Linked DNA regions of Elephas maximus indicus. The protein of the gene in region 2 purifies or fractionates together with the protein of the main gene of each other region. This does not show direct contact. Links are inferred from orthologs where the notes say so. Each region holds a gene or a part of one and is shown on either strand. Other genes may lie near its edges. The genes, in order: USP50, NLRP3 and NEK7.

Evidence for each region.
Region 1: the proteins of NLRP3 (region 2) and USP50 purify together in Homo sapiens (affinity purification with western blotting; 3 studies listed by BioGRID). This does not show direct contact. The link is inferred for Elephas maximus indicus from reciprocal best matches to the Homo sapiens genes NLRP3 and USP50.
Region 3: the proteins of NLRP3 (region 2) and NEK7 purify together in Homo sapiens (affinity purification with western blotting; 9 studies listed by BioGRID and IntAct, with this or other methods). This does not show direct contact. The link is inferred for Elephas maximus indicus from reciprocal best matches to the Homo sapiens genes NLRP3 and NEK7.

Annotation. Positions count from the first base shown.
Region 1 is NC_064830.1:51,392,828-51,396,579, reverse strand, and holds the start of USP50 (inactive ubiquitin carboxyl-terminal hydrolase 50), read left to right. Parts: upstream 1-914; coding exon 915-967; intron 968-3,752. UniProt on the Homo sapiens protein: Deubiquitinating enzyme that removes conjugated ubiquitin from specific proteins to regulate different cellular processes. Regulates the inflammasome signaling pathway by deubiquitinating 'Lys-63'-linked polyubiquitination of the PYCARD/ASC adapter protein.
Region 2 is NC_064820.1:233,753,266-233,757,017, forward strand, and holds the start of NLRP3 (NACHT, LRR and PYD domains-containing protein 3), read left to right. Parts: upstream 1-943; 5' UTR 944-1,165; intron 1,166-3,752. UniProt on the Homo sapiens protein: Sensor component of the NLRP3 inflammasome, which mediates inflammasome activation in response to defects in membrane integrity, leading to secretion of inflammatory cytokines IL1B and IL18 and pyroptosis.
Region 3 is NC_064836.1:5,886,738-5,890,489, reverse strand, and holds the start of NEK7 (serine/threonine-protein kinase Nek7), read right to left. Parts: upstream 2,247-3,752; 5' UTR 1,981-2,246; intron 1-1,980. UniProt on the Homo sapiens protein: Protein kinase which plays an important role in mitotic cell cycle progression. Required for microtubule nucleation activity of the centrosome, robust mitotic spindle formation and cytokinesis.

The DNA.
Region 1 (3,752 bases), on a different chromosome or scaffold from region 2:
TAACCAAGGGCTCCCATGTGCCCTTAACCCCACGTCCTCCATGATGATCTTACATAAGCACAGGATATTGTCAAAAACAAGAAACCTGTATTTATGGAAACATTGTAAAGACACAAGATGTGTATTTTGTTTGTGAAGACATGCATAAGTAGTAACTGAGAATGATATATACCAGTTAGAGACCGTGATTTTCTCTGGGGAGGGTGGGAAAGAGAAGGGACAGAGGTATGGTCTCTGGAGAGAAAAGGGTTGGATAGAAAGGTGAAGGAAAGGACTTCATTTTTACTGTGTTTCTGTCTTGTTTGATTTTTGTACCCACATCAATTTTTAATTAAAAATGTTTTTAATGGAACAAAGTGCTTTTTCAACTCTTGGCCCTGTGCATCCAGCAAAATCTCAAAATCTAAGCATAGGCTGGAGTCTTTCTATGTTTACTGGGTTAGCCTACTCGTCTTGTGTCTTGAAAAGTGGCAATATGGGAAGCAAATGCAGTTTCCTAGTGTTTCCCCAGATAAGTAAAAGGAAGCAAGGGAGAAATTTGTTTACCTGGGAACCGCGTCTGTTTACACGCTGTACACAACGGAAATGCGTGATGGAGGAAAAGGTTGTGTGTACAGTTTATCCTCTGAAATCGAATCTTTTTAAAGCATTTCGAACAGCCAGGTCACAGTAGCTCATAGCAACAAGTTAGAATCTTGAGGGTGAATGGAGAGGATTATGATTCATGGAAAAATCTAAGTTGGAATGGCACCTAACGTGCAGATGAGAATCAGTTTGCAGCTACTGAAAGGGGAGAGGAGCAGACGAAGAATTTAAAACAGACAAAAAGAGCCAAACGGGCTCGGAGAAATGAAGTTTAAAGGATTAGATGTAGCTCCTGAATAAAAGCGAAAGTCCGACGTGGTTCCTTTAAAATGACTTCTCAGCGGCCTTTCCCTGTAGATGACTTCGGTATCTACTACGTCCTGTGAGCCCCTATCTACTACAGCTTTCTAGATAAGCTCTGTTCAGGGCAGAAGCCAAGGTCCAAGGAGTCAGAGGGCACATGCTGCATTTAGAAGGTTTCCCCAGGTGTGGCCTATGGGAGGTCCCCAGAGAAGGAAGGAAAGGTGTTATCTAATATCTAAGCAATAGAGACATGTGCTTCCTGAAGAGTGACAGCCCAGGGCCTTCTGTGACAGTACAAGTTGAGCACTTTCCCAACTGGCTAACTTAAGTAGAGGTGCTGAGGTGAGGCAGATGTCTCATGGAGGCCCACGTTTAGATACTGTGCATGGAAAGGAAAATCAGAAAGCACAAAGTTGCTGGGCTGCCTGGAGCAATATGACAAATGACAAAAGGAAGCCCTGGGCCAGGGTAGGAGCCCGGGGCCGGGGCAGAAGGAGCCCTTGGGACCTCAGTGCTCTTCTCTCTGTGTAGGCCTGGCCTAGCCAAACAGAGCTGTGAGAACATCCTAGATCAGCCACTTCTTTTAAAACAAATGTTGACATTTATTATTTAATCTGTGCCAGGTACCTTGAATCATTTAATTTAATCCTCACAACCCTATACGGCAGGTGGTATTATTATATTATAGATGATAAACAGGCATAAGAGCTCTTGAGTAGGTAAGTGGCAGAGTCAGAATTTAAACTGAGATGTATTTTTTATTAAATCTATCCTCTTACTATTTCTCCTTCTGACCCTCTAGGTGTGTGTGTAGTCTTAATGTGTGTGTGTGTATATATATATATATATATATATATATATATATGCTCTTAATATATGCTCTGGTGGCATAGTGGTTAAGCACTCAGCTGCTCGTGGGAGAAAGTTGTGGCAGTCTGCTTCTGTAAAGATTTACAGCCTTGGAAACCCTATGGGGCAGTTCTACTCTGTCCTAAAGGATCTCTATGAGTCGGAATTGACTCCACGGCTATGGATTTTATTACGCTTTTGATTTGTACATATGTTATATATATACATATATATAGATCTAACAAATTCTTCATCACAATCACCTTCACTTGCTGCATGTGCAGCTTTTAAATCATTGAAACAAGTCAAGCCTTTTCTTGCACTAAAGTCTATATAAGAGCCATATGCACCTGTTACTGACTTACAAATTTGACTTAAAGGCACAGTTACGAATGGATCCCATTCATAACCTGGGGACTGCTTGTATATAAATTCAAATAGCTTAGATAGACAGACAGTGCTGCTGTAACAGAAATACCACAAGTCGATGGCTTTAACAAAGATTTATTCTCTCATAGTCTAAGAGGCTAGAAGTTCAAATTTGGGGTGCCAGCTTCAGGGGAGGGCTTTCTCTCTCTGTCAGCTCTGGGGGAAGGTCCTTGTCATCAATTTTCTCCTGGTCTAGTAGCTTCTCAGCACGAAGACCCCGCCTGGGTCCAAATGATGCGCTCTACTCCTGAGTCTTCTTTCTTGGTGGTAATGAGGTCCCTCCCCTCTCTGCTTAATACTGTCTTTTGTATCTCAAAAGAGATTGACTAAAGATACAACATAATCCTATAGATTGAATCTTGCCTCATTAACGTAACTGCCTCTAATCCTGCTTCATTAACATCATAGAGATTAGGATTTACAACACATAGAATAATCACATCAGATGACAAAATGATGGATAACCACACAATAGTGGGAATCATGGCCTAGCCAAGTTGACATACATTTTTAGGGGACACAGTTCAATCCATAACAGATAGATACTCTTAATATATGCTACAGGCAGTCCCCGGGTTACAAACATCCAACTTGCAGACAACTTGTACTTGTCTTTTAGAGTTATGTAAATTTGACCTCATTTTGAAACAGGGCTTTGAACCAGTTTGGTCCAGTTTGACCGCCTGCTGAGAATCTGCATTTCCACTCAGATATACTGAATCAGAATCTACAGTTTAACAAGATCCCCGGGTGATTCTTATTTATATAGACTCTTATTTTAGAGATAAGAATCACCTGGGGAACTTGTTAAAATGCAGATTCTGACATAGGAATCACCTCAGAATCTTTTTAAAATGAAGATTCAGATTCAGTATACCTGGGGTGGAAAGGCAAATTCTCAGCAGGTGGTCGAACTGGACCAAACTGGTTCAAAGCCCCACTTTGAAACACTGAACCAACCCCTACTCGCAACAAATTCATCATCACAAATCACCTTCACTTGCTGTATGTGCAGCTTTTAAATCATTTTATATCATCAATAAGGCTAAATAAGAACCATATGCACCTGTTACTGACTTACAAATTTGACTTAAAGGCACAGTTAGGAATATATCTCGCTCATAACCTGGGGACTGCCTGTATATAAATCCAAATAACTTAGATATATACACAGAGAGACTGACCGACTGACAGTCTGACAGATAAGATATTCCCTCTTTCTATATACCACTACACACTCCTTAGACTGTTAGCAGGGGCCAATGACTAAACCATTTTGATACCTCATCTGTAAAATGGGATTTAAACTTAAAAATAATTGTACCTACCCCATAGATTTGTTGTAAGTATTAAATGGGAAAATGCATGTTAAACATTTAACAAAATGCTAGGCTCAATAAATGATAGCTATTGTTACAATTAACTACTAGCTATTATTATTGTTACTACTAACAATAATTTACTTGCCCAGCAAAAAAGGAAGGATTGCCTCATTTAATCTAATCCTCACCACCTAACTATAGTGGGAATGCTTGCATTTTAATCTATTCCTCACGACCTAACTATACATTGGGGATGTTTGCATT
Region 2 (3,752 bases):
TGATTTCTATATATTAATTTTGTACTCAGCTGCATTTTTAATTCTCTTATTTTTTGTTAACTTCTTTGTTAATTCTCTTGTAAGGATTTAGATTTTTTAAGTAAACAATCACATCTTCTGAAAAGAAGGATAATTTGATGTCCTCCATTACATTTTTACATTTCTTTTTTCTCTCTGTTATCTAATTGTGTAGGTCACTATCTCCAGAACAGTATTATGTAAGAGGAGGTGGTGTGTATAGCCTTATTCCCATCTTTCATTGGGATGCCTCTAGTGTCTCTCATTCAGCACAACAGTGAATAGATACATGTACCTATTGGTGGTGAAAGGTATATGTATCGTCACATTATGTACTTGGTCATATAATCTTACTTTTAAGAGTGCTTTGAAATCAGTAATACATGAATATTTTAAAATCAATAACAGATGTTGTAGTGGGTTGAATGGTGGGTCCAGAAAGACAGTCCATGTCCTAACCCCTGGAGCCTGTGAATGTGACCTTTTTTGGAAAAAGGGTCTTTGCAGATGTCATTAAGTAAAGGATATTGAAATGAGATCATCCTGGGTTATGTGAGTGGGCCCTAAATCCAATAACAAGTGTCCTTATAAGAGAAAGGCAGAGGCAGATTGGAACATGCAGAAGGGAAGGCCACGAAAAGTTAGAGGCAAGGTTTGGAATCATGCAACCACAAGCCAAGGAATGCCTGGAGCCACTAGAAGCTGGAAGAGACAAGGAAAGATTCTGCTTTAGAGCTTTTGGAGGGAGTGTGGCCCTGCTGACACCTTGCTTTTGAATATCTGGTCTCCAAACCTATAAGATAATAAATTTCTATTGTAAGCCAGCAAATTTGTGCTAACTTGTTGAGATAGCTGCAGAAAACTAATATGGCCTATATGGAGATGATCATATGCTTGATTTTTTTTGTTTGTTCTGTTAATATAGTGAATCACGTTAAGCAATTCATGGTAAAACATCCTCGCAACTCTGGAATGAACTGACCATCTCACCGCACACCAACCCTTTCCTTGGTCTTTTGATGTGCTACTGGATTCTGGGTGCTCGTATGGACTTAGCACTTTTGCATCTATATTAAAGCAAAGGACATCATCTTTGGCTCATGGAAGACCCAAGGCAGGGGACAGGAGAAACTGGAACTGAGTGAAGGTGAGAGCTGGAACACGGGGGAGAGGCAGCGAAACCTGTAGGTCTTAGCACAGAAGCCCCACCCCCTTTGTGGTAACCTTAGTCTGCTTCCCAGTGATAGAATGAAGCCTTAAAAACCCTCAACTCATTGGTTGGCCCAAACTATTTGGCTTAAAGCATTAAAGATATAGCACTGTTGTTTTTTACCCTGGACCGTACCACATAGAGTTGTCCTTGTGAGAAACAGTTCAAACCAAAAGAACAGCTCCCATCAGTGTGCCAAGCAATGTGAGTAATGTGGATGTATGTCTGGGGCTTTGACCATGGTTTCTTTTCACTGTCCGTGGCAGCATTTAAATATATCTTTCATAATTCTGGAAACCCTGATGTTGCAGTGGTTAGGTTCTACAGCTGCTAACCAAAAATTCTCTAAATTTTTCTATAAAGCTCTAACAGAATTTTGAAATTTCTTTTTGGTAATAGTTGTATTGAGATATAATTCATGTACCATAAAGTCTACCCATTTAAAATGTGCTATTCACTGCTTTTTAGTATATTCACAGGGTTCTGCAACCATCACTATAATCAATTTTAGGACATTTTCATCACCCCCAAAAGAAACTGCGTATCCTTTAACAGTAACTCTCCTCTTCCCACTACTCCTAGGCCTAGGCAACAGGTAGTCTACTTTCCGTCTCTATACATTTGCCTACTCTGGACACTTCATATAAATGGAATCATATAACATGATTTTTTTTTTTTTGACTGCCTTCTTTCACTCAGCATGCTTTCAAGGTTCATCTGTGTCATAATGTGTCTGTACTCCATTTCTTTCTATGGTCAAAATGTATTCCATTGTATGGATATACTTCATTGTGTTTATCCATTCATCAGTTGATGGACATTTGAGTTGTCTCCCTAACAGAAATTTTGATTCTTTTATATAAGTAAGAGGTAACATAAAGCATAGTAGTTTAAAAACCAAACCCAAACAAAAATAAACCCATTGCCATCAAGTTGATTCCAACTCATAGTGACCCTGCAGGACAGAGTAGAGCCCCATAGGGTTTCCAAGGAGCAGCTGGTGGATTCGAACTGGCAACCTTTTGGTTAGCTGGTGAGCTCTTAACCATTGCACCACCAGGGCTCCTAAGAGTTGAGTAGGATGTAAAAGGCACCAGAGGGAGATTTATTATTGTTTTAGCTGCTGTTGAGTCATCTTTGACTCATGATGACCGTGTACAACAGAATAAAATGTTGCCCAGTCCTTCTCTATCTTCACAATCATTGGCAGGCTCGAATCCATTGTTGCAGCTTCTGTGTATTTTGAGTGCCTTTTCCAACCTAGGGGGGCTCATCTTCCAGCAATATATTGGATAACAATCTGTTGTGATCCATAAAATTTTCATTAGCTAATTTTCGGAAGTAGATTGCCAGGGAGGGGGATTTAGGAGGCTAGAATTCCAGGCTTCCTCTTGCTTATGCTAGACTTGCAGCTCTCAAAGTGTGGTCTGGGGACCCCTGTAGAACTCTGGATCCTTTTAGGAAACCTGAAGCTATTTTCACAATAATACCAAGACAGTATCTTTTCACTTTCATTCTATCACAACGGAATTTTCAACAGGCTACATGTCATGTGGTATCGCAGTCAACAGAATGCGGAAGCAGACCCGAGGAGCCAACAGCTTTTTTACTAAGGCAGACATTAAGGAGATTTGCAAACATGTAAAACCATGTTACTATTCTCACTAGATATTTTTTGTCTTGGAAAACATAGTCATTTTCATGAAAAAAAATGAATTGTTTATGTTAATGTGTATATTATTGTTATAATCTCTTTGGAGTTCTCACTTCTGAGCATGTAAAGAGGCCTTGAGACCAATGTGTTTGAGGACTGCTGCTCTGCGCTTAAAAAAAACCCAGTGCGTTGAGTCGATTCCCACTCATAGTGACCCTATAGAACAGAGTAGAACTGCCCCATAGAGTTTCCAAGGAGTGCCTGGCAGATTCGAACTGCCTACCTCCTGGTTAGTCGTTTAAGCCTTGAGGAAGCCAGCCACTCTAGATCTTCGTTTATCCTTTTATAAAGGAAAGATATTAGATGAGTTCTAACGACTCTTCAGCTCTAAACATTTGAAGATAGTTTAACGTTACCTGAAGATTTACAAGAGCTTTTCTTGTAAACGGGTTTTGATGAAGCGGAAAAAGAAGAACATTTAGTCATTCCATGTGAGGGTAACTGAGGCATTGGTAGTTCAGTGGTAGAATTTTTCCTTTCCATGCGGAAGACCCAGGTTTGATTCCTGGCCAGTGCATCTCACGCACAGCCACTTCCTGTCTGTCAGTGGAGGCTTATGTATTGCTATGAAGCTGAACAGGTTTCAGCGGCACTTCCAGACTAAGATGGATGAGGAAGAAAAGCCTGGAGATCTACTTCTGAAAATCAACCAATGAAAACCCTATGGATCGTAATGCTCTGATCCTTAGCAGCAGCATTTTGTTCCATCGTACCTTGGGTCTCCATGAGTTGGGGTTAGATTCCATGGCAGTTCACCACAACAGCAATGTGAGGTGGAGGGGAGACACTGGATGCACTAATTGCTCCACA
Region 3 (3,752 bases), on a different chromosome or scaffold from region 2:
GGGATCAAAAGAACCCTGAGTTCGACCCTCACGCCTTTATTGCCACGCGTTTATTTCACAAGGCTGCCGCGCGGGCAGGTGCTGCTCGGCCTCCACGCATCCTTCGAGGGGTACGTTCTCTTCCTTCTCCGAGCCTACGGCCCGGGCAGGAAGTACCCGCCCCAGCGAGCGAGGAACCGGGTGTCCTCGCCGCCAATTGGCCGTGAAAGCCGTCAGTGTGGCGGTGGGCGGAGTCTCCAGCTGGAAAGCGGAATTTAGGCCCGCAAGCTCCCGGAGGGTCCCCGGGCTTCCCGACCCCGCAGAGAAAGCAGTCAGCCTCCGCGAAGACTTCCCTGGCCTTCTTATTTCGCCAGTAGTCCTCTGACCGCCCCATACAGTTTTTGCCCCTTTGACTCCTCCATGAGGAAAAGCTTTTTCAAAGCTTCAATAACTTTCCCCACCACAACAAGCTTCCAACCACAACAAGCTTCCAGACCAGGGCTAAATAGAGGACGCTGCGGTTTTATGAGCGAAGCAAACTGCGGACTGGATCTCCTCGAGTATAGCAGCGGATTCATTCCTCTGCAAATGGAATAACTGCTACGTTTTAGGTTAACCTTTTCACCAGGTGTTACAGCCAAGATTACTCAGTGTCCATCGGCAAGAGCTGTCACAAAGCATCACAGGGTTAACTGTGTATCCTGGGTTACCATCCACCGTTTGCAGCGTGTATCGGGTTGTAGCAAACATACCGTCAAGTTTTTGAGTACAACTTCGACCACACCAGCAGCACACGGTCCTTAACAGAACAGATTTATAACACACATAATCTGTACTACACTCTGCACTGCAACCTGACAAGACATATTGCTGTCACCTGTTGAGGCTGCAATTCCTTGGATGAGGAATTAGAAACATTGGTTCTCATAATGACAGGCACACAATGCTCTACTAATTGTGGGCACTTAATGTTTTTTTGGGTTAATGTTTTCAACTGCACCCGTAAGATCAGTCGTCTTAGAGAAGGAGGAAAATCATTTCATTTCTGTAGTACATTTCTGATGTTGTGTTCAGTCAACACACTACTCAAGGAAGGAAGTGCCTGCTCTAAAATTAGTATGTTTTTAGTACTTATCCGTAACAAGGACGACAGCGATGAGAGAACACGACTCATCTGATACATCATCTTCCAAGGCCTACAGCATAAAGGAAGGAGGCGACAGTTCTTCAAACCTCACCGTGGCATACTTTACGTTGTGTTCGCTTCCTGGTTTTTATCCTTTGGGCTCCCGTTCATTTCTCTGGCTTTGGCCTCTATTTTCAATTTCCCTCTCTCTCTTCCATTGCCACCACCATCACCTATGTTCGCTACTGCCTGGCAATCTCCCTCTCCGAGATTTTCTAATCCTGAATCTCCATAAAACTCATTCTCTGAAGGGTCTATCATCACCCCTACTCCAAACCCCCCCCCCCCCACAAGTACTTCTCAAGCCACTTCGGATTCTCCCCTATCAACATCGTTCCCACTAACCACTCAACAGTGAGCTTCACTTTCCCGAGTCGGGCTGCTGCCGAATTCTGGCAGCTGGACCTAGCCAATCCGTGAGGGATAAATAACCAGAGCCACCAATGAGCACCCGCCGGGAGGCAGGAGGCGGGACTTCGCCTAAGTTCCTCTGGTCCTGAAACCAAAGACCTGTTGCCGCCGCTGCCGCGGTGGCCGCGGAGTTTCTGAGTTACCGCGGCGCCCACGGAGGCCTCGAGCCGTCAGAGCCCGCGGCAGGCATGAAGTTCCTACCGCTCGCTCCCACCACTGCCAACGAGCAGGACTGAAACCCCACCCGGCTCGAGAGCAGCTAGCCCCACCCCAGCTCGCCAGGCGGGGGATCCCGGAGGCCGCCCGCGCAGTCCCGACCCTCCTCTCCCGTCCCGGCTGCCGCAGGCAGCCCCACCCGGCCGGGATCGCCGGCCCGGGCGCCGAAGCCCCGAAGAGCGACTCACCAGGAAGTTGGCAGTTTTCCGTTCTCCTTCCCGCGAGGAATCCGGGGCGGGCGGGCGGCTCGGTCAGGCGCCGCCGCGGAGAGGCACGCCGGGCCGGGGGCTGTGCCTGCAAGGCCCGGAACCGATCGACCACCTCCCGCCGCGCCGCCCCCGCGGACGCTGCAGGCGCGGGCACCCCCCTGCGCTCGGCGAGGCGCGTCCAGAGTGCGAGCCTAGCGGCGACCCATCCTCCGGCGGCTCCCGCTGCTCCGCCCGCGGCCGCCGCTGTCAGGAGGATAAACATCCCGGCATCCCCGAGGAGGGGGCGGGGCGGGCGCTGGCCCCTCCCCGCGCGCCGCGCCGCGCCGCCCGCCCCGCCGGCCGCCGGCCCCAGCTGGGCGCCCTCCGCGGGCCGGTCTGGGGGCCGGGGGAGCCCGCCGACTTTCCAGTCCTGGGCTGAAGCACCTCTGGAGGAGCCCCTTCGGGCATATTGTTTCCTGTTGTCAGGCCTAGCCCGGTGTGGGAGTGTCCTTCTGCCCCCATAGTCCTCTTCTGCTTGGGACCAACTTCGCGGGGATCCCAGGATCCGCTGCTGTTTAAGAAATTGTTTCTTCCTCCTTTATATTTAAATGCCCCACTTGCAGGCAGCAAACCAAATCGGTTATCCTCGCTTCTTCTGGATCACAGCGTTTTGATCCTATCGTCCTTAACCGAGTGGCTTAAACTGCCTCTGTGCTTAAATATGTGTGCAAGAAAATGAGGGGAATAAGGCGTTTTCCTAAGTCTGGCTAAGCAAACCTTGTATTAACGGAAGAGTCCCAGCATAGACGACAGTGGCTTTTAGGACATTTCTGAAACGTGAATTGCCTGGTATGGTATCAGAGATTTTGATATATGCCCCCCAGAACCATAGCAGATGGTTGCTAAAGGATTGCTTAGAGCCCAGTGACCTCAGTACTTCAGTAACCTCACTGGCTCTACAGAAGGAGACTGCTAGGAGGCAGTATGGAGTCAGCCACACCGAACTCTCCTAGTCTCAGTACCTTTGTCTGTAAAAGGAGAATAGTATCTATGTATAGGTTCCTCATGAGCACAATTAAATGTTCTGGAATTACCATTCTCTCCAATGTTATCCATAATTTGTTGTGATCCACAAATTCAAATGCCTTTGCATAGTTAGCAAAACACAGGTAAACATCTTTCCGCTAGCCTCTGCTTTCAGCCAAGATGCATCTGACATCAACAATGATATGCCTACTTCCACATCCTCTTCTGAATCTGGCCTGAATTATATTAATGATATCATTTGATAATTTCCACATTCTGTTGAATTACCTTTCTTTGAAATGGGCATAAATATGGATGTCTTACTGTATGGTTTAAAATCGGGAAAGGTGTGCATCAGGGTTGTATCATTTCACCATATTTGTTCAGTCTGTATGGTGAGCAAATAACCGATGAAACTGGGCTATATGAAGAAGAATGAAGCATCAGGATTGGAGGAAGACTCGTTAACCACCTGCATTATGCAGATGACACAACCTTGCTTGCTGAAAGTGAAGAGGTCTTGAAGCACTTACTGATGAAGGTCCAAGACTACACCCTTCAGTAGGGATTACATCTCAACATAAAGAAAACAAAAATTCTCATACCTGGGCCAATAAGCAACATCATGATACATGGAGAAAAGATTGAAGTTGTCAAGGATTTCATTTTACTTGGATCCACAGTCAATGCCCATGGCAGCAGCAGTCAATTCAAATGATGTATTGCATTGGGCAAATCTGCTGCAA